Linked DNA regions of Notamacropus eugenii. Each later gene encodes a partner of the first gene's protein in a complex. Links are inferred from orthologs where the notes say so. Each region holds a gene or a part of one and is shown in the gene's direction. Other genes may lie near its edges.

Region 1 (11,145 bases):
TTTTTTTTTTTGCCATTGTTTAATTGTTTCTAAAGGTTCTGCATAATTTATTATATAACTTTGTATCAGTGAAAGTTTTCAGTCACTATCTTCTCCATAATATTTACTTATAATACTGTATAATTTCATATACTCTATTTTTCTTTCTTTATGAATCTTACTGTTGGTTTATATGAGTGGATCCTTGACTTACATTCAACTCTTTTTTTCTCTCTCAGCTTTCTTGGTGTCTACACCTTCCCTTGTCCAGTATTGCCTGTGTCCTGTCCAGATGACTGGGGCTGAGCTACTTTACCTATGTTATGGGGTTGAAGTTGTCATCTGGCTGGATTCATGTTGCGTGGAAATTCCAAGGGGAGGCGACTTCAGCTGTATTTATATTTTCCTTTCCCCTTTCCTTTATGGAGAAGTCTTTTCCTCCCTGTACTAGTCAGGTATGCAAATGCTTCAAGGGTGCGAAAGCTTCAGCCCTCAAGGCCTCATGGGCCAAAGGTTCCCCACCCCTGCTAAGTTTGGATTCAGTCAATGTGGCTTCAAGGCCACATGTTCCTCACCCCTCAGCTAGAACCTCATTGGATCCACAGTTGATCACTTTCTCCATCACTTGGGCAAGTTAAATGCTCTCCCTTGTTAAGTTGGGGTGGGGAGTATTAATCTGGCTTACTACCAAGAGGAAATTGAGGGAAGGACAGATGTCAACAAAGCTAAAGTTTGAAAGGTGGAGAAGGAGTGTCTTATCCAAGGAACAGAAAGGGGCCAATGCCACTGAATCACAGAATATGGGATTTGGGGGAAAGGTAAGGTATTAGTTTAGAAAGGTGAGGGAAGGGCAGATTATGAAGGGCTTTCAGCATACTATGGAGAATTAGATATCTGAACTTAGAGATGGTAGGGAGCTACTGGAGTTTATTGACTAGAGGGCAGGGGTGACGGTCAGATTTGCACTTTAAGATCACTTTGACAGCTCAGTGGAAGATGGATTGGAGTGGGGAGAGACTTGCACCAGTGGGTTATTGCAACAATTCATATATAGACAGATATAGTTCTATTTCAACGGTTTTTCAACTCTCTATTTTCCTGCTAAGGCTGCTAATCAGTATTTTTGCTCTTCAGTGAGTATTGAAACAGGCAGTGTACCATAGCAGATAGAAGTCAGGAAGACCTTTTGTTCAAATCCTGGCTCTGACATTGGTTAGCCATGTGACCCAGGACAAGTCATATAATCTCTGTTTCTGCAGATATAAAAATGAGGATAATAGTGACTGTCTCTTAGTGTTGTTTTCAGAATCAAATGAGATAATATTTGTAAAGCAATTTGCAAACCTTAAGGAATTATATAAATGCTAGCTATTATCATTATCAGGAAGGGGTTGTTATCCTGAAGAGGAGTAGGAGAAAGAAGAGTAAAAAGCGGTAAAAGCAATGATCATAGGGTAATAAATTTAGACCTAGAAGGGACTATAGAAACCATATAAATGACTCCTTCATTTTTCAAGCAAGGAAACGGAGACTTAAAGAAATTGAGTGACATCTAGTATGTATCAGAGGTGGGATTTGAACCCATCTGTCTCAAACTCTTAAATTCAGGACTCTGTGGGCTATATACTATAGTGCCTCTGTAAGAAGAGGGCAGCAGTGTCTGAATTCATAGTACTGAACAGAACAGAAGCAGAGGGCTACTGGTTGAGATACAAAGGGGGTGAATAAGAAGCTAGAAAAGCTGCTAGCACATTGTTATGTTTTTTGTCAGTTTTCAGATGGGGAGCTGGATAAAGGAGAGCTGTTTCTCCAGAATGTATTTGGGAAAGACACTCATTTGGGGCAATATTTGCTGAGAAAGTTTCTGTTTCATTTCCTTTGTTACAACTAATGATTTTGTGATCTTAGACCTTTAATGATCTATGCTGTGGTTTGCTTGCATTTTTTTTTCTGTTAGCATGGCTATATCTGAATATCTAGACCCCCAATTTATTTCAGATATCTTCCCATCCACGATTACCATATTATTATATTATGTTATATTAATCATATCATATCATAACATATATCATATCATATTACATTACATCATGTCATATATATTATGTTTATAATATATCAATTATATTATTTATATCAATTATTATATTATCATCAGTGTGTTTATGAAGTGAGTAGAATCTAGTCCAAGTGAACGAGTAATTTGCAAGCCCCTGGAATTCAGATAACTTGTCTTTGTTATCTTCAGGGTTAGTCCATTTCTCTTCACATAGGTTCTTGCTATTTATTAAAGATGATAAACCTAGCATTAAGATACATTGGTCTGGCAATATGTTGGGTCTATCAGAGGACAGAGAACTTGAAGGCTATTGTAGCAATCTAGGGATGGGGATGAGGACTTGTACTCTGTACTCCAATAGTACTCTTACTGTAAGACAGTGAGAATGCAGAGGAAAAAACTGATAAGAAAAGATGTCTTGAGAAGATATGATGACTTGGATGTGTGGGATGAATAATAATTTTTTCTACTCTTGAAATGTTCCCCTCCTCTTTAAAAAAATTTTTATGCATATATTTTGTTTTTCTATCACTTATATTAACCAAATATCTTTCACCCTACTCTCTTTCCAAGAGATATTTTCTTATAACTGTGGAATCATATTAAACCCCTTTTTTTGTTCATCTGAAAATATCAAGAAATAAATATTAATCTAGTCTAAAGTCCTTTTTCCTGTAGGAAAGTGTGGAAAAGGTCAATAATAAAAGCTAAGGTCCCAAGAATATGAATTCAATATGGTACCCAAACTTAGACGCCAAAAAAAGGAGTTAAGATCATTGCTTTTCCATCTCTGGAGGAGAAAGGCTGTGACCTACTTTGGGACATTGCCCTCTTCATTCAAGAAGCATTTATTAAATTCTTACTATTAAGTTCAGGGGAAACAAATACAAGCAGAAACAGCTTGCCTTCAACTAGTTTACATTCTAGTGACTGGGAAAGAATACATAGAAGGATATTGAAAAACCTGAGTGGGTGGGGACAAGAAGAAGGGATGAAGGTCCCTGGGGAGTGGAGGGGATTGGCATCAGGTCCTGGTAATGAAAGTCTGGGACAGTATGGAGAGCAGTTTAGAGAAGATTTGACTGGCCTGGTTGCCCTCCCTAAATTGCAGGTTCTGAAGGAACTAGGCAATTAGTGGGACAGGCAGTGGGGGAGAAAGGTAGCTCCTATGTGTGAAGTCAGAGTATCATGAGCTTTCAGGGTAAAGCAGTTCCTGAAACTATACAGTTGGGGGTCGATGAAGACTGAGGACAAAGGATTAAGATACTGATTACCTGAGAGAGAAAGCTTTTTTTAATCCTGGTAGGTGGGTGGGGAGTGGTCAAAAGAAGAATTGAATGCCCTTAGGAGAAGTTTTCAGTGACTTATTCTATTAGATTGAATAGAAGGTTTATTCAAAATTGAATAAATTCCTGTGAATATTACCTCAAAGTTGCCTTAGGGTAGAGAGGAGAGAGAGAGAGAGAGAGAGAGAGAGAGAGAGAGAGAGAGAGAGAGAGAGAGAGAGAGAGAGAGAGAGAGAGAGAGAGAGTGTGTGACAATATGACATTTTGACTATTTTTCCAACCTACAGATGCCTGGATTTAGAACAAGATTAAATTAATTTCTGGATGACTTCTGCTAAAAACACAAAATATAGTATTATCTTTTCTTCAACATGATAAAGAATAAAGAGACAGTTCAGCAATATTAAACAGTATCAAAGTCTTACTTCATATTCAGTGCACCACACCAATAATCCCCCACCTCTGCAAAAAGGAGCCAAGGTATCTTTTCATTTGGAGCCATGCTCGGTCATTATAATTTCACAGTATTCAGTTGGGATCGTTTTGTTCTTGCTTTCTCCCCCATTTACATTCTAGTAATTAGTGAATATATTGTGCTTTCTTCACCATGCATCAGTTCATGTAAGTATTCCCATGCTTTTCTGTATTCATCATTTCTTATATCATATTCTATTTTTATATTTTCTTATATCACACTAACAATATTAATAATCAAGTAATATTGATTTAAATACATATAACCCTGGAAAAATAGGTGCTATTATTATCCCCATTTTACAGATGAGGAAACCAGGTTAGGAAAGGGAGTTTGAGTGAATTGACCAGAGTCACACACACAATATCAGTTTGAGGCAGGATTTGAATTCAGGTCTTCTTGATTTCAAATCTAGCAGTCTATCCACAATTCGACCTAGCTGGCACAAACAGTTCCTTCCCAGAGAAGAGGATAAACAATTATGCTGATAAAGCAAATACAAGAAAATTTTAGTTGGGAGAGAGTACTCGAGAGAAGGGGGAGGGGGGAGGGACACCAGAGTTGGGAGATTATGATAATAAAGGCTTCAGGCTGGAGGTAGCACTTCCGTTGAGCTTTGAAGGAAATAAGGGATTTTAAGAGGCAGAGGTGAGGCTGGAATGTATTTCAAATCTGGGGAACAGGTAGCCTTCAAAGACTTGGGTTCCAGTGTTTGACATCTATTGACTGGCTGACCTTGGACAAGTCACGCCCTCTCCTAAACCGCTCTTTCCTGGGTTCTTAACGCTTTTTGGGGGGGGAGGGGGAATGAAGGTGTGGGTGTGTCACAGTCCCCTTTGATAGTCTATGGAATCCAGTAGATACAGGCATGTTTCCAAAACAGTTCAGAAGGATTTGTGATTTAAAAAAATGCTATGAGAAAGAACCGATGGACTCTGAATGCAGAATGAATGAAGCACATTTTTTTCTTTTATTATTTTTGCTTGTTGGTCTGAGTTTTCTTCTGCAACTTGGCTAATATCGAACTGTTTTGAATGACCGCACAAGTGTAATCTATATAAAATGGCTTGCCTTCTCAAAAAGGGGGGTAGGGACGGATTAGGAACTCAAATTTTTTTTAAAAAAGAGTATTAAAATTTTACTGTACACGTGATTAAAGTAAAATGCCTGAAATAAAATACAAAGTTTAACAACGGGAACTCGTATTGGAGTTATTTTTTTTAAAGTTGGCGGACCCCAGCTCCAAGACTACCAATTGTGCTGCCGGTGCTCACCCACATTTGTAAAGGGGGAGGGGGCTCCCAATACCAACGGAACACAGGTAGAGAGGGGGAAGGAAGAGGCGCGGGATCGGGGACGGAGAGTCCTCCCGTGCAGCAGGACAGGCTTTGCGGGCGGGGAGAGGAGGCGCCGGAGCCGGGCTTTGCCCGCCGAGGTGGATGGACAGAGCCGAGGGCCATGAGGACGCGAAGAGCAGAAGACGCGCTCGGGGCACCTGGGCAGGCCCGTCCGCGGCTCTAGACTAGGGGCGGAACAAGGGAGCTTCTCCAGCTCGGAGGGTGCCTGCGGGGAGACCCGAAGGTGTGGCGGCTCGCTCCGACTCGATGTGTAGGAGGGGGAGGAGAGTGTCTACGACCAGAGACAAGGTGAGTGGCTGGAGAGCCGCGTGGGCGGGAGTGCGGCCGGAGGGCGGAAGGGGATTGGCCAGCTGGCAGCCTCTGTGTGTATGTGGATGGATGGGTGTGTGTGGTGGGGGGGCGGAAGGGGGCCGCTACTCTGTCAGGCTGGGCGTGGAGTTAGCCAGTGCTCTAGCCTCTCCTCCTCTAGCCTAGCTCCGCCCTCACGTGAGGTGCGCCGCCTGCCCCAACTCTCTTCCTCCTTCTCCACTTAGCAGTTCGAGCTCAGTTCTCGCCTGACTCCCTCCTTCTTTCTCTCTTCACACCGCCCTGGCCGTTCCCTCTTCTCTCTCGCCCGCCCGAAAAGAAGTCGAACGCGGAACTCATCGATAGCTCGGCCTTCGCGGCTCGCATCCATTCGCTCGGGACTCGACTTCCCCAGGCGGTGGCGGCGGCGGCGGCGGCGGCAGAGGCGGCAGCAGCAGCGGTGGCTGCGCCTCGGGCTCCGGCTCCTTCTGCGCTCCCCGGCCCCCGCCATTTCAGAGTGGGCTCGAGAGCGGCGTTAACGCAGGCGGCCGTGCGGGCCCGAGACGCAGCGTCTCTCCGGCGCGGAAGAGAGGTACGGGCCCTGCCGCCCTCCCCCCTGAGTCCCTGCCCGGGGTCCGACCTTTTCTCGCCGGCGCCAGGCTGGGCGGGGCGGACGGAGAGTGAATGAATTAGGGGTCCTCGCGGGGGTGGGGGGTGGGAGGGACGGAGCGGCGGCGAGGACGGGCTGGGGGGGGGGGGGGTGCAGGGAGAGGCTGCCGCCGCTTCCTGAACGGGAATCCCCTTCCTTCTTTCCTTTCTTTCTTCCTTCCTCCCTCCCTCCCCGGAGAGCCGGCCGGGCTCGAGGCGAGCTGAAACTCGGCCGGCCCGAGGGCGGGTCCGGGCGTGGTGGAGGTTGCGCCCCGGTCTGCCCGTCGGTGGGTCGGCGCACTCCCTCCTGGCCGGCTCCCCGCCTCGGCTGCCCGGCGACGTCCCCCCTGCCGCCCTCAGCATCTCCCCGAGCGAGCGAGAAACTTCTTTTGCCGCCGCCGCCGCCGCTAAGTGGTCTTCTTCCTTGTGAACAAAGACTCTGTGTGTGTTGTGTGTGTTTGTGTGTTGTTGGGCGGGGGGGGTCCTTTCCCAAGAGAACTGAGAAGTAGGCAGAGACTCGGTGTCGGAGGTTACGTTGGGGAGGGTCCTGCTGCAGCCGCCGAATTCCCTCTGTGGCTCGGCAAGTGGCAGCAGAAAGCTCCAGGTGGACGGAATTAAACCTGGCAGGAGTTGTAAACGGAAAATGGTTTATCCCGGAGAATTTTGCTGAGTCAAGTTTATTTATAAGCAAGAAAAAAAATCAGCCACAAACTAAAAGTGGTTATCTCTGGTGAAGAACGCAGAACACGTTCACCATCCTGGAAGTTACTACAGTAATACCGAGCTGTAACCGAACTCCAACATTTAGCAATAATGACCAGTGGCGAGGACCTGGTAGTGGCCGCCAAAACAACCTAGTGCAGCCTTTTGATCAGGTGTGTGTATGTGTTATAGCTAAAGCTGCAGACTGGCTGATGTTTACAAGTGCAGTAGTAAGCATAGAGAATTAGAGAAGGGAAAATGGCTATTGATATCCAGACAGTCTTAACATTAGTCATTGATTGATGTCCATATTGATGGACTCAGCTTCAGAATGATAAGACTTTATTCACTGAAGGTAGTTGATGGCAATTAGGTGTTGTTTGGAACCTAAGACATGTTCAGATGTAGCCTGTTTTAAAAACTTGAATTTTCAGAGAGAGGTAAATTAAGAGAATATTATTTACCTTAAAATGCTCAATTTCTTTTCTTGACTATGCACTGTCACTTAACCTCTTTCTGACTCAATTTTCTCATTTGTACAGTGATGAGCTTGGGGTGGTGTAGTGGATGCAGTGCTAGGCTTGAAGTCAGAAAGGCCTAAGTTCAGATCCAGCCTCAGACACTTACTAGCTGTGTGGCCCTGGTCAAGTCACTTAACCTCACTTTATCCGTAAAACGAGGATAGTAATAGCAGCTATTCCCCCGGGTTGTTGTGAGAATCAGATGAGATAATCATAGTTGTAAAGCACTTGGCATAGTCCCTAAAACTATCTAAAGTGCAGAGAATACTTTGGTACAGAGAATTTCCTCACCTCGAAGTTCCCTAAACCTTTGAAGTGAGAGTCTATCCCTATCCTTTGAATGAAATTAATGCAAGGAACACCAGATTGCTAAATTAGTAAAAACAGCAAGTTGATTTTGAATCTTAGCCTTGTTACTGTGAATCAGTGGGCACTCAGTTCATTTTTCTAAACCTTAATTTTTTCATTCATAAACTTACCCAGATAGCCTGAGGGGAGAGGGTTGGACTAGATGATTTCTAAGGTCCCTTTCAGTTCTAAATACTATGAACCTATAATATAAAGGATTTAAATAAGTAGATTTGAGGGGAAGACCCTCAAATGAGTAAAGGCACTGATAGAAAAGCATGTGACTGTTCAGCCACTGTGGACTCTTAAGTGTTCCATTTTGGCAGTACCATAGAGTATATGAAGGAAAGTAGTACAAGAGAAATCTGGAGACTGGAGCAGGATTGTGGAGGTCATAAATGTCAGACCAAGGATTTTGCACTTCATGGTTAACTTTCATTGAGTTAGTACTTGCTTTTTGGACTTTAAGGTAAGCAGTTTTGGGGTGGGGGGCAGGCGTAGGAGCTGGGAGTTGAAGTTATGGCACAGATTCTACATTTATTTAGCACACTGTGCTGTTTGCTAGTGCGCAGAGCAAAAGGAAAGAGCTCTCCCCCCTTCAACGAGCTTACATTCTATTCATGGAAATAGCATGGGCATATGAAATACAATACAAAGTATACACAGGATTAATATGAGTTAATTTGGGAAGGCATTAGCAACTTTTGTGAATCAGGAAAGGCCTTGCATAGGAACTGCTACTTAAACTTTGAAGCATGGTAGGTTTTCTCCATGCTGTTTGTTGTTGACATTACACAAGGAGGGCCAAATAGCACAAGATTCCTTGCTGTAGTGGCTAAGAACTAGGCTAATGCAAGTTCCTTGTTCTCATGTTGGAGGGAAATGAGTATGGAACAAGATAAATTAAAAGGCTATTCTTTACCTGGCACAAAAACTTTTGGAGCCTAAGGACATTACCTGTTGGAGAGTAGGCTGGGGAATGGTATATTTGACAAACTAGAATATTTGGATTTTGATCTGTTTGGATATTTCTTATTCTTGTGTGAGCCAAATAGATAGACCTTCTGTGTTTTTTTTTCTATGTACACTTATGTACAGACACTGAATATATTTGTATGTGCATTCATTCACACTTCAGTAATTTGTTCAGGAACTGATATCTAATTTTGGATTATTGTCAGTTCCCTTCTAAATGGTATTGATTGGCCTTTCTTACATGTACTTCTTTTTTCTTTGGTTCCATAAAGGAAATCAATGGCCACTCCATACATAAATACATATACACATAGGTTTACGTATTGCAGGGACAGGATGTGTGTATGGTAGTAGTACATGTAACGTAGATCAAATTCTTGACATTAACAAATTGACATTGAACGATTGCACCTTCGGAGGGGAAATCTGTTTCTATGTCCTTTAAAATAAATGTTTTGATTAATAAAATAATTTGTTCTTATACACTTTTAATCTTAATTTAACTTTACTTCCTTGTCAGCTTTCTGAAGCTGGCCAAGGTATACTTCTTGCCACGTATTCACAATCTTTCCTGTGGATTTTACAGTAATTGCCATCTTTTTGGAAGCTAGAGTTTCATAGAAAAATGACAATGGCAGCAGAGGAGGTATTCAGTCACTCTAGTTGAGGTTGTAGAGTGCTGTACTCTGTACTTCTAATCCCATGAAGTCATGACATATTCCAGTGAGAACAAGCTCAAAACCCGCAAATGGCCATTCTACAAAGAACTATCTAGTCAGAGTATGAGATAGAAGAACTTTGCCTGTACTCACACTGGTTTTATTTTTCTCAAAATACTGATGGGAAAGTTGTCGTAAACATCATAAAACTCAGATTTCTAAGCTATGTAGCTTATAGTATTTTAGAAGAGATCTGATATGTTTTTTCCATTGCATCCATTAAAACAAGTTTTACTAAAGTTATTTTCAATTTTCAACATCACATTTTTTGTGTATATCCTAAAAGCATATCTCATGTAAAGGTAGGTATCCATTTCATTTCTAGCCTGTCAGAAAGTTTAGGCTACATTAAATTTATGTGAAGAATATTCTGATCATGTTATTATTATCATTTTTTGTTATAAGGCCTGCTGAAAATGACTGAATATAAGCTTGTGGTAGTTGGAGCTGGTGGCGTAGGCAAGAGTGCCTTGACGATACAGCTAATTCAGAATCACTTTGTAGATGAGTATGATCCCACGATAGAGGTAAGTCTGTTTTAAATATTATATGTGTGTGATGTTAAATAATGACATACATATAATAGACTGAAGTTTTTGACCAATAATACTTAACTGAAATGTATTTCAGATCCCTTGTGAAAAATACTTAAAATTAGTATTTAATTGCTTACCTTTTTTTTGTTTGGTATTTTATTTTTCCTCAATTACATGTAAAAATAATTCTCTCCCTTCCTCCCTTCCCTCATTGAGGTGAGCAATTTGATATAGCTTATACATATGTAGTCATGTAAAACATTTCCATAATAGTCATGTTGTGAAACAAAATATAGACAAAAAAAGAACTTTTAAGAAAAATAAAGTTAAAAAAAGTATGCTTCAGTCTGCATTCAGACACCATCAGTTCTTTCCCTGGGGAGAGATAGCATTTTTCATCATAAGTCCTTCAGAGTTGTCTAGTATCATTGTATTACTAAGAATTGGGAAGTCATTCACAGCCCATCATTTTACAATATTGCTGTTACTTCGTATACACTACCTGTCACTTTGTATCAGCTTCTGTAAGTCTTTCCAGGTTTTTATGAGAGCATTCTGCTCATCATTTCTTATAGCACAATACCATTCCATCACAATCACATAACCAGCTTGTTTAGCCATTCCCCACTTGATGGGCATCCCCTCAATTTCCAATTCTTTGCCAGAAAAGAGCTGCTTGCTATAAATATCTTTCTACATATAGGTTCTTTTCCTTTTTGCTTTTTATCTCTTTTGGGATACAGACCTAGTAACAGTGTTGTTAGGTCAAGCATATACATGGTTTTATAGCCCTTTGGGCATAGTTCCAAATGGCTCTACTGAATAGTTGAATCAGGTCCCAACTCCACAAACAGTGCATTAATGTCTCATTTTTCCCTACATCCCCTCCAACATTTGTCATTTTCCTTTCTGCCCCGTTAACCAATCTTAATAGATAGGAGGTAGTACTTCAGTGTTGTCTTAATTTGTATTTCTCCAATCAATGATTTAGAGCATTTTCTTTCATATGGCTATAGATAGCATTGATTACTTAATCCGAAAATCGTTCTTATCTTTTGATCATTTATTAAATGGGGAATGGCTCTTGTTTTTATAAATTTGACTCAGTTCTCTGTATGTTTGAGAAATGAGGCCTCTATCAGAGGAACTTGCTTCACAATTTTTTCACAGTTAAAATTGCTAATTGTATTTCCCTCTCCTATTTTTGCCTCTGTTTATCCTATTCTCTCTCCTTTCCTCCTCAAAAGTGTTTTG
Region 2 (10,504 bases), on another chromosome or scaffold:
TTATGGTAGCAAAGAATTGAAAATTGAGGGGATATCCATCAATTAAGCAATGTCTGAACAAGTTGTTGTGTATGATTGTGATGAAATATGAATGTGCTTTCAGAAATGATGAACAGGATGCTTTCAGGAAAACCCTGACAGACTTAACATGAACTGAAGCAAAGTGAAGTGAGCAGAACCAGAAGAACATTGTAGACAGTAACAGTAACATTGTATGATGATCAACCATGATTGACTGAGCTATTTTCGGCAATACAAATTCTGAAGAACCTATGATGGAAAAATGCCTTCCACCTCCAGGGAAAGAATTGATGGAACCTGAATGCAGATCAAAGCATATTTTTAAAATTTATTTTCCTTGTTTTTTTCTGTTTTCTTTTATATCATGACTAATATGGAAATAATGTTTTGCATGACTACATATGTATAACCTTTATTAAATTGCTTGCCTTCTTAAAGAGGGGGAGAGAAGTTAGAGTACAAGAGAATTTGGAACTCAAAATTGTAAAAAAGAAAGGTTAAATTTGTCTTTACATACAATTGGGAAAAATAAAATATTAAAAATTTTTTAAAAGTTGTTTTTATGACTTGCCCAGGGTTATATAACTAGTATGTGTCCCAGTCGGGGCTTGGACCTAGGATTTCATTGCTTGAAGTTGTACTCTCTGTTCATGATGCCACATTGGAAATATATAAAAAATGTTATTTTGTCAGTTTATTATTCATAGTCTTTAACTTTTTCATAAATGTTGTCACTTTATCTTTATGAATCAGAAAGAGAAACTGTGCTGATTTAGTGTACTGTAGTCAGTTTGAAAAAATATCCACCAAGTATATGAAGTTCAGGAGAAAATTTTTATTATAAAATTAATCTGCTTAATCTTTATTATTATCACTAAGTAAGAAAAATGGCAGTGTCTTCTTTTAGTTCAGACTTCCTTTGAAGTTTCTTGGTATAGGAAAGCTGTAGTGTTTCAATATAGTATCATTAAATGCAATATGATGTAATGTAATATAATAAAATATAACATAAATAAAGCCTTATGCTGTACTCCTCCCCCCACATCACCATGTAATTTTGTTAAAAAGCCTTCCTTTTAATAGACTATTTTTCAAATCAGTTTGACTATTCTTGCAACAATTTGAAAAACCATGTGTACCCTTTCACTCATATTTCTTGATATAAATGATTATAAGGAATATAATGGAATATAATACATGAAGGACCATATTTCAACTAGTACTTATAATCTGTGTTTTATTCTAAAAATTAAGATTCATCAGCAAAGAATCCAATATAATTCATGTAATATAATTTTCAATAAAAAATTGTCAGTTATACTGACAACTCAGTGTGGCATTGCCATGAATACCTTTAAAAAATAACAAATCTTTCTTAGCATCATTTTAAACAACAAAGCATACAGATGAAATCAAAGGAACCTCTTTAACTCCTTCATTACCCATGTGCAATATAAAATATAAAGATTTTAGTTCCTCATTTAATTCAAATTATTCAAGTTATCAAATCATATGACCAATTCTCCCCATCACCTTATTTGCAAGTGGAAACATTCAAAGCATCTTTGGATGTGATTTACCCAGAATTGTTTCAACAGTATCAGTAGTGGGAAGTAACACCATTTTTTTCCCCTTTTGAGGCTTTTTACATTATTAATAATACAAGCAGCTTTATATAATGTAGGAAATCATTTTGATTTCATATACTTAAAGAAAAAGTTTTTGTTTACTCAAAAATCACATAAATTTCTTTGGAAAAATTCTCTTTTTACCAGCATGTTATTTTTGTACATTTTCAAGATGTTTCTATTTATTTGGTTTCACACTATCTGCAGCTAAAGTATTCATGCAAACTAAACACTTTCCCTTCATCAATCACAGTACTTATGACTGCTTATGATAGTTATATAGTGGCTCTTACTTACTTTCTGGATTTTTTGCCTTTTTATTTTTTTTTGTTTCTATGTTTCTGCTACTTAAGCAGTTTTTATTGTCCATGCTTATATTAATTCAGTTGCTCCAGTGGATTTTCTTTTCAACATGGCTATTTACTTATTCATTGTCTAAGGATATTAGGCCAATTTTAAAAATTAAACGAAGTATTTAAGAAAAATTTAATTGTTGAAAATTTTAACCAACTATAACTTCTCAGGATATTCAATTTTCTTAAAGTTGCATGATTTTGGAAACCATTTTGTCCTTACAAAAGTGAATGATGTTGAGAAATATAAAAGATATCATGGTACTTTTGTCTTTTGCACAAAAATTTTTTAACTTGGAGTCTGCACTTTTGTGCTTTATGATCAGATACAAGTAGCGTGACCACACTAATTGATGTGCATCATGAGTTTGCATCAATGGACAATTATACATGACAATGGCCATCGCATTCCCTTTAAGATTCATTATGTCAGTTCAAATTTTTGCCTCTCTTGTGCATTTTATATCACATAATTATATTAATTGCTGTCCTATATTCATATCAATTGAAATATATTTTTTGTGTCTTTTGTTGACTTTGATTTGAACTTTGTTTTCACTAACAAAAAATTGGTATATTTATGGGGGAAGTGTATTTGGAAATATATATTAAATTTGTCCATTGCTTCATGTCCTTCTTGAGGATACACAGTAATTTGGGCTATTGCTTCCTATCCCCTCGTTCTGGCCCCCAGGGGTTATGGTATCTCATTTTGTCAGAGGAGCAGGTCCAAGTATTTGGAAAATTCAGTCGTTAGGGAAGGATTATACCAGATATTTAAGCTGATAGCTTCCTGGAACTGTTATTTCTTTGTGTTTCATATCCAACTAGTGACCCAGAGAAGCCTAAAACCATCTTCTGTTTTTGTGTCTAGAATTCAATCTACTCTTAAACTTAGGGTAAAAATATTGCTCTTAACTATTATCATGTCAATTGTGGTCCAAGCCAAATCATTCCTGGAGCTTCACTTAGTTTCACTAAGAACCTAGGTGAAATTGAGGCCCTTTGTCCTACGTTCCTACATAGTGAAATAGCTTTCTTCCCTAATGTTGCTAAAATATCAGAAAAAATAATTTTATTGTTAATTTATTTTTAATAGAATTAACATATTTCTAATGGAATGGGAAGATCTTTCCCATCCATTAATAGGCCTATAAAGCCTGTGGTGGGAGGAGCTTGCTGAATGGCTAGAACAGGAAGGGATCAGGTAGAACAGGAAGAACAACTGGGATCAGGTAGAACAGGAAGAACAACTGGGAGAGAGCAGACAGAGCAGAGCAGCTAGCATGAGTGAGAGAGGGAGTAATTTTGCCTAAGGGAGCTTGTTTGTGGGGATGTCTGACAGAGGGAAGGCTCGAGGGATGACTGTGCTGACTGCATTGATCATATGTATAGAATTCTTTGTTACTATGGTGGATTTATCTTTCTGGTATCTGAATAAATATTTGGTTTCATCTTTGAGGAAGAAAGTTTATATTATCCAAATTTACCCTAGAAATAAGCATGCATATCCATACCTGCTTCTGTGGGCATTGAATTGGCATTACAATAATTTAAAAATTGACCAATATGGAGAACTGTAATGCTAATGAGAGTTAAAGATCTTCCCCACCCATTAATGGGACTGCCCATTAAGGAAAGCTTGATTAGGGGAGGCCTACACCTTTGGTTAATTTTCTAGTGAGGCACTGGTTCTCAAGGGTTGTGATGCCCCCTGGCTCTGAAAAATGTATAAATACTCTGAGGTGAAGTTTTATTTGGGGACTTACTTATCAGAAGTGTTTGTTTGGCCAGATGAGACTCTGGGCAGCCACTAAAGAGCCCCTTGGCTTTGAAAACCCAGATGTTGGTGCTTCTCTCTTTGGTAACAATGTATGCAATGATCAGACAGTTGTATCTGTCTGTTGATCTGTGATGTATTGTTATGGTCAGATAGTTGGAAGCCCTCTCTGTTGGTTGATATTTGTTTCTCTGAAGTTCAGGGTGCTGACTTTTTCCCCTGAACTAAGTGAATGATGTATGTGCTTGATTAAAGTGATTATTGACCTCTCAAAAGTTGCTTTCCTTTTAGAAAATCAGATCTAAGAATAGCAGGCCCCTCTGTGTGGTGGGGTCATTGCTGTTACAAGAATATAATAGAGTTCATTTAAGAATACATAGAAGTAACCAACAACTAACTTCAAAAGAAAACAGAAATACTGCCAATGGAGAGCAACTGGAAGAATATGGATTTAGAAAATCACTAAATTATCCAAAGAATTGGAAAGCATACTGAATCAAATGATAAATTTAGAGGTTAGACCACATGGCAGAATTTTAGGAATACTGATATCCTCTAAGTTTAGAGAACCAAAAGAATATGAAAATAGTATTCCAAGAAATTGTCAAAAAAAAGCTTCACAGAATTGGCAAAAATAAGTAGCAATGCTTTCCCCATCTCTCTTTTTTATTTGTTATTACAAGTGATATTTCTCTGGAAAGGAAAGAAGGAAGAACATATTTGAAATGAAGGGGAAGTAAAACAAAAGATAACTTTTTTTTAAAGCAACAATACACATATAGGATTCATAGGACTCCTAAAGAAAGAAGGCAAAATTCAATACTACTATGCTCATTATAGTTAAACTTTAACATTATAACAGAAAGAGAAAAAAAATGCTTTAAGCTGCCAAAAAAAAAAAAAAGGATTGAAACCACTTGCCAAGAAACATTAATCAGGATCACAGTGGACTTCTTAAGAAAGGCAAGGGACAGTGAGAGGAATTGGAAGGCATATGAACATACATAAGCCTAACATGTATAAATCATGAACCCAAAATTAGCTACTCAGTAAAACTCAATATATTTTTTCAAGGGACAACATGAACATTTGCAAAGCATTTAATCATTGAAAAATTTTCAGAGGAAGATATTGTGCCATTTCGTAGAATCTCCATTTTAAGGAAAACACCCAGGCCAGCCAGGTCTTTATTCCCTTCCATATTTTACTCCTAACTTTCTGGACTTTCTCCATTAGGTCACAGAAGCCCTTCACCCTGGAAGTTCACTTCATCCCTGAACTTCCTACATTTAAAGTTCTCTCCACCCTGAGGCACCTTCCTCTGATTGGCTGATTCTTCCTAGAGCCTCCATTTTCAGGAAAATGCCAGGGTAAGTTAGGTCTTTGCTCCTTTCCAGGCTATGCTCCTGACTTGCTGAACTTTGTGCCCCTGTTATGGTTACCTTCTCTCACCCTAACCTCTTTCAGCTTCCTTTTATGTGTTGTATTACCCAATTAATACTCCTTAAGGGCATGGCTGTCTTTCTGTTTGTATCATATTTCTATAGCAGAGTGCCTGCCATGTAGTAAATACTTAAACATTAAAAAAATTTTTTTTTATAAATCCTTACTGATTTGACTTAATTTTCATTGTAGTACCCTTTAGAAAAGTTTGAGATTTTCAAAGAAGTATGGGACACTGTGCTTTAACATGCTTGATACTATATTTCTAGAACAATACCATAGTCTGTGATCATTTTAGCTTACCCACCATTTTCACTTGCTTCCATTTTTTTCATTTTTATTTTAAAAATCTAAGTTGGTTGATGAGTTTTCTGTATATCCACATTTGTTTCCATAGACATTCCTGTCTGTTTTATTCCATTGGGATAATTTCAGCTTTTGTCTAAAGAATTTCACCTATGAAAGCATCCCATCCTTACCTTGGGTTGACTTCCTTTTCAAAATTACAGCCTGTGTAATCTTACCTATCCCTTCTCTGAACCCTTGATATAATATTCCCCAAAATGTTTGTGGGTAACAGACTTTAGTGTTTCTTAAAATTCTAAAATGGAGCGATAACTTCTCTTCAAAGGTTCCCATGATTCGTATTTCAATATTTGGTTTAAATCTCGGCTCTGCTACTTGCTACCTGTATGACCTTGGCAAGTCACTTAATCTCTGTGGACCTAAATTTCTTTATCTATAATGTTAGATTGTTGAGTTAGATGATCTCTAAGGTCCTTTTCACCTTAAAATTTATGATCCTAGTTTTCCAAATGAAGAAAAGTGGAATCTCCCTCAAAACGATAAATGTTGCTACAGAGGAATCTCACCCACCTACTTAAATTTTTAAAAAGACTTCTACTGAAAAGGGAAGCAAGTACCAGTAACTGAGGAAGATTACAAAAGTGACATGATACTTTAAGAAACATATACCTGGTGTCTAAAACACTGAAGCACAAAGTGAATCACAGGCTATCGATGAATGCTAAAGAAAACAAAAAGAAAAAATTTAAGCTCCTTTGGGAGCAAGAAGAAGATAAGAGAAAGGATGGAACCTCACTGCATTGGATAGATAGATAAAATATTTTTTAAGCACTTACTGTGCACTATGCTGAATGCTGGGGATACACATTCAAATGAGCAAGATAGCCCTTGGCCATAGAGAGCCTGTGTTCTCAAGGGAGAAGATAACACATAAAGTGGAGTTGGAGAAGGGGAGGTTGAGCATGCATGAGGGGTCCAGCATGGTGAGGAGATGGAGAATACATGATTAAAGAGACAGTTGGCAGATAGGGGTGCAAGTACCTGGAGTAAAGGAGGCTCAGTTTCCTCATCTGCAACATGGTAATATTAATAGTACCTACCTCCTAAGGTTGTTATGAGGATAAAATGAGATATTATTTGTAAAATGATTTGCAAACCTTGAAGTGCTATATAAATACTAGTTCTTATTGTTGTTTGTGAGCACTCAGAAAGAAAAAGTGGCGAGCACTAAGAGCCAGAATGAGTTCTTTAGAAAGCAAGTTTTTCCTTACTAAATATATTGCTATTTCTGACAGGGTTACTAGATGGGTGGTACAATGGCTTTGGAGTCAGAGGACCTGTGTTCAAAACCCAGCTTTATCACTTACTACTTTCTGTGACTTTGGACAAGTCATGGAATCTCTCTGGGCTTCGCTTTTCTTATGGTAAAATAAAGGAGTTGGACTATGGCCTCCAAGGTCCCTTCTGCCTCTAAGTCTTTGAGCCTGTGATATTCTGATGAATCAGGGCAGTGCTGCAGACACAGCATCTCAGGACCTCAATACAGCATTTGATAAGGTTTCTAATTATCTGTAAGTAATATGAAGAGCTATAAGTTGAATTGCAGTACAGTTAGATGGATTTGAAACTGGTAATGCAAAAAGTGGGGATCAGTGGATTGATAGTAACCTGAAGGACAGTCTCCATCATGATGCCATAAGGCACTGTCTTGGGCATAATTCTCTTCAGGGGTTTTACAACTTGCGTTATGACATAGATGATGTATGTTACATTTGTAGATAATATGTAACTGGGAGGGTTACTTGATACATTGGATAATAAACTCTACCTTTCCAGGCTTATTATATATATTATATTGTTATACCTTACTTCTTTTCATGTACTCTACAATCCAGCCAAATAGGCCTTCTTGCTATTCCTCAACATACATGACCTGTAACTTTGTGCAGGCTTTCCTTGTGATCTTAGAATGCACTTCTTCCTTACTTCCACATATTAGTATCCCCAATTTCTTTCAAAGCTCAGCTTAAACATCTCCTATAGGAGAACATTCCTCATTGTCCCTAGCTGCTAATGCCTCCCCTCAATTGCCTTGATTTATTTTTTTAAATATATTTTACATTTGCAAGAAAAAAATATAGAAAACAAATTGTTCATACAAAAAATGAAAAAGGAGAGCTCACAACAATTGAAGAATAAAGGAAAGTTTTAGAAAAAAAATTTGCCCAATTATATGCTAACAAAACTGACACCTTAAAGGACACAGATGAATACTTTCAAAAACCTAAACTAACTAGATTAACCAAATAAGAAATAGATGATTTAAATACGAAATAAAAAGAAATTGAACAAGTCATAAATGATCTCCCAAAGAAAAAATCCTATGGCCAGATAGATTCTCAGGTGAATTCTATCAAACATTCAAAGAGCAATTAAACCTCATGTTATATAAACTGTTTGTAATAAGAAAAAAAGTACCTTCCAAGCTATTTCTATGATAGAAATGCAGGTTTTTTATCTAAACCAGTGAGAAACAAATCACAGGCAGAAAATTTTATGTCAGTATTCCTAATTAAAAAAATTTAAATAAAATATTAGCAAGTAGACTACAATGGCATATTAGAAAGATTATATACTGTGACCAGATTAGGTTTATCCCAGGAATAAGGGTTAATCTAACAAGGAAAACTATAAATATAATTGTTGTTGTTATTCATTCGGTTTCCAGTCATGTCCAACTTTTATGTGACCCCATTTAGAGTTTTCTTGACCAAGATTCTAGAGTGGTTAGCCATTCTTTTCTCCAGTTCATTTTACAATTGAGGAAACTAAGGCAAACAGGGTTAAGTGACTTTACATAGCTAGTAAATGTCTGAGGTCAGACTTGAACTGAAGAAGATGAATCTTCCTGACTTCAGCGATTCCCGGCACTCTATTCACTGCACCACCTACCTGTCCCATAAATATAATAAACCATGTTAGTAATGTAAATAATAAAGATCACATAATTATATCAATAGGTCTTAAAAAGGCTTTTAGATAATATACAATACTCATTTGTATTAAAATGCAAGAAATCATAAGAATTAATAAGTATTTCCTTTATACATAGGATAATAATAAATACAATGATAATGCATATAGTAAATAAAATTTATATAAATCTAACAGCAAACATTATATGTCAAGGAGTTAACCTAGAATACTTTTCAGTAAGATCAGATATAAAACAAGATTGTCCATTGTCACCACTGTCATTTAATGTGGTGCTAGAAATGCTGACTATAGCAATAAGCTAAGAAAAATAACTTAAGGGAATTAGCATAGGCAAAGAGGAAACAAAATTATCACTTTTTCCAGATGATATGATTGTGTATTTAAGGTGCCCTGGAGAATCATCTAAAATTAATTTCAAGAGTAACTTCAATGGAGTTGTAGGATATAAGATAAATCCACATAAATCATTTGCATTTCTTTCTATATAAACCTAACAAGACCCAGCAAGAAGAGATAGAGAAATTTCATTCAAAGCCAATCAGAAGGGGCGCATAATCACTATATGGTTTACAGACCAGAACCAATCACAGAATGTCTTTTCAAGGAATCTCCATTACACAGTCATCACAAGTGATTCTTCCAGAACTGGCTTCCCAGCTTTTTCTACATGAGGTTATTGCCTCAGTAGCACTCTATACATGCTCATAAGGATGAAACTCAGTAGCTATTCCCCATTATATAAATATTGTCATTTGTATTTTTCAGATGTGTAAAATAGTTAATAAAATAGTGGTAATGGGATTGAAACTTGTTTCTTCTGCCTATCAGTTATAATTCTAAGTAATGTCTACAAAGAGTATGAGAGAAGTAAACTAAAGGAATCAAGAACTCCCGGTAGTTCTTTAGTGGGTTGGGTTTGTTTTTTTTTTAAGATTTTAAAAGTATTTTTGTTTGGTTTTGTTGGAGTATGTATGTACATATTTGAAATTTGCAAAGTATTTTGAACTGTCTATATCAGTGATAAATCACTGAATTGACTGTTAAAAAGCTGAGATTGTCAAAAACATTGTTTTCTGAAAAACACCATAAGAGAGTTCTTGGATGCCACCATTAGCTAAGGAGGTACTTTCAAGTCATTTGGAATTCTCCAGTACAACAGATTAAAAAGCTTTCTGTGACTGAGGGGGCTGTGAGAATAGAGGTAGTAAAAGTGATTGTACCTTCAAAAACTAATAATAAGGTTTGGATTTTTAAAGATAAAAACAATGAGTGGGTGGAGCCAAGATGGCAGAGTAGAAAGACACACATATGCAGGCTCTCTCCACACAGCCCATAAAATACCTGTAGAGAGGGACTCTCAACAAATTCTGGAGCAGCAGAAGTGGAGAACAACAGAGTGGAGGAGATTTCCAGCCCATGGTGGCCTGAAAGGCCAAACCCAGCCCAGCCTTGGTCAAGGGGCGTGGCTCTGGGAGGAGGACACCTCAGGGGTGGAATCTCCAGTTGTGGAATCCCCAGTCGCAGCAGCAGCAGCAGCAGGTTCACAGATCCTTCAACCCACAGGCGCCAAAGGTCAGTGACAGGGTTTTTTCAGCTGGCTGAGAAGGGAGAAGGGCCTTCCCATAGCTCTGGCCTTAGGCAGTGGCCACAGAGGCCACATAGGGCAGGCAGCAGTTCCCACAGCAGCCCACATCCATTGTTGGATCGAAAAACCCCTGGGGGCACTGAGGAGCTGATTCTTACCTCAGCCCTGTGTAGAGGCCCTGAGGGCCTGAGATCTTTATCTCACACTGATTGGTGGCCCTGCCCCCACAGCTTAACTGAATTTCAGCCCCCCAGTGCTGTCTTGGAAATTGGAGGCCAGGTGGCTGTGGAGAGGAAACTCTGCTAAGATTCTGGGCACAAAAATCTCTTCCTGCTCCCAGAGATCTTACAGATTCCCAGAGTATACCCTACTCTTGACAAAGGACCCAAAA

What was found. Proteins that work in one complex are often made in the same cells at the same time.
Region 2: the proteins of KRAS (region 1) and RGL1 are in contact, whole or in part, in a crystal structure (PDB 7SCX), measured with the Homo sapiens proteins. The link is inferred for Notamacropus eugenii from reciprocal best matches to the Homo sapiens genes KRAS and RGL1. Residues at the interface, in NP_001356715.1 of Homo sapiens: Ile24, Gln25, Glu31, Asp33, Pro34, Thr35, Ile36, Glu37, Asp38, Ser39, Tyr40, Arg41, Leu56, Tyr64, Met67; in NP_001284600.1 of Homo sapiens: Ile651, Arg653, Asn660, Gly661, Asn662, Met663, Tyr664, Lys665, Ser666, Ile667, Met668, Lys685, Asn687.

The regions. Positions count from the first base shown.
Region 1 is NC_092874.1:180,487,512-180,498,656, forward strand, and holds the start of KRAS (GTPase KRas), read left to right. Parts: upstream 1-5,906; 5' UTR 5,907-6,034; intron 6,035-6,453; exon of another isoform or gene 6,454-6,531; intron 6,532-9,760; 5' UTR 9,761-9,771; coding exon 9,772-9,882; intron 9,883-11,145. UniProt on the Homo sapiens protein: Ras proteins bind GDP/GTP and possess intrinsic GTPase activity. Plays an important role in the regulation of cell proliferation.
Region 2 is NC_092873.1:461,402,891-461,413,394, reverse strand, and holds the start of RGL1 (ral guanine nucleotide dissociation stimulator-like 1), read left to right. Parts: upstream 1-5,023; 5' UTR 5,024-5,152; intron 5,153-10,504. UniProt on the Homo sapiens protein: Probable guanine nucleotide exchange factor.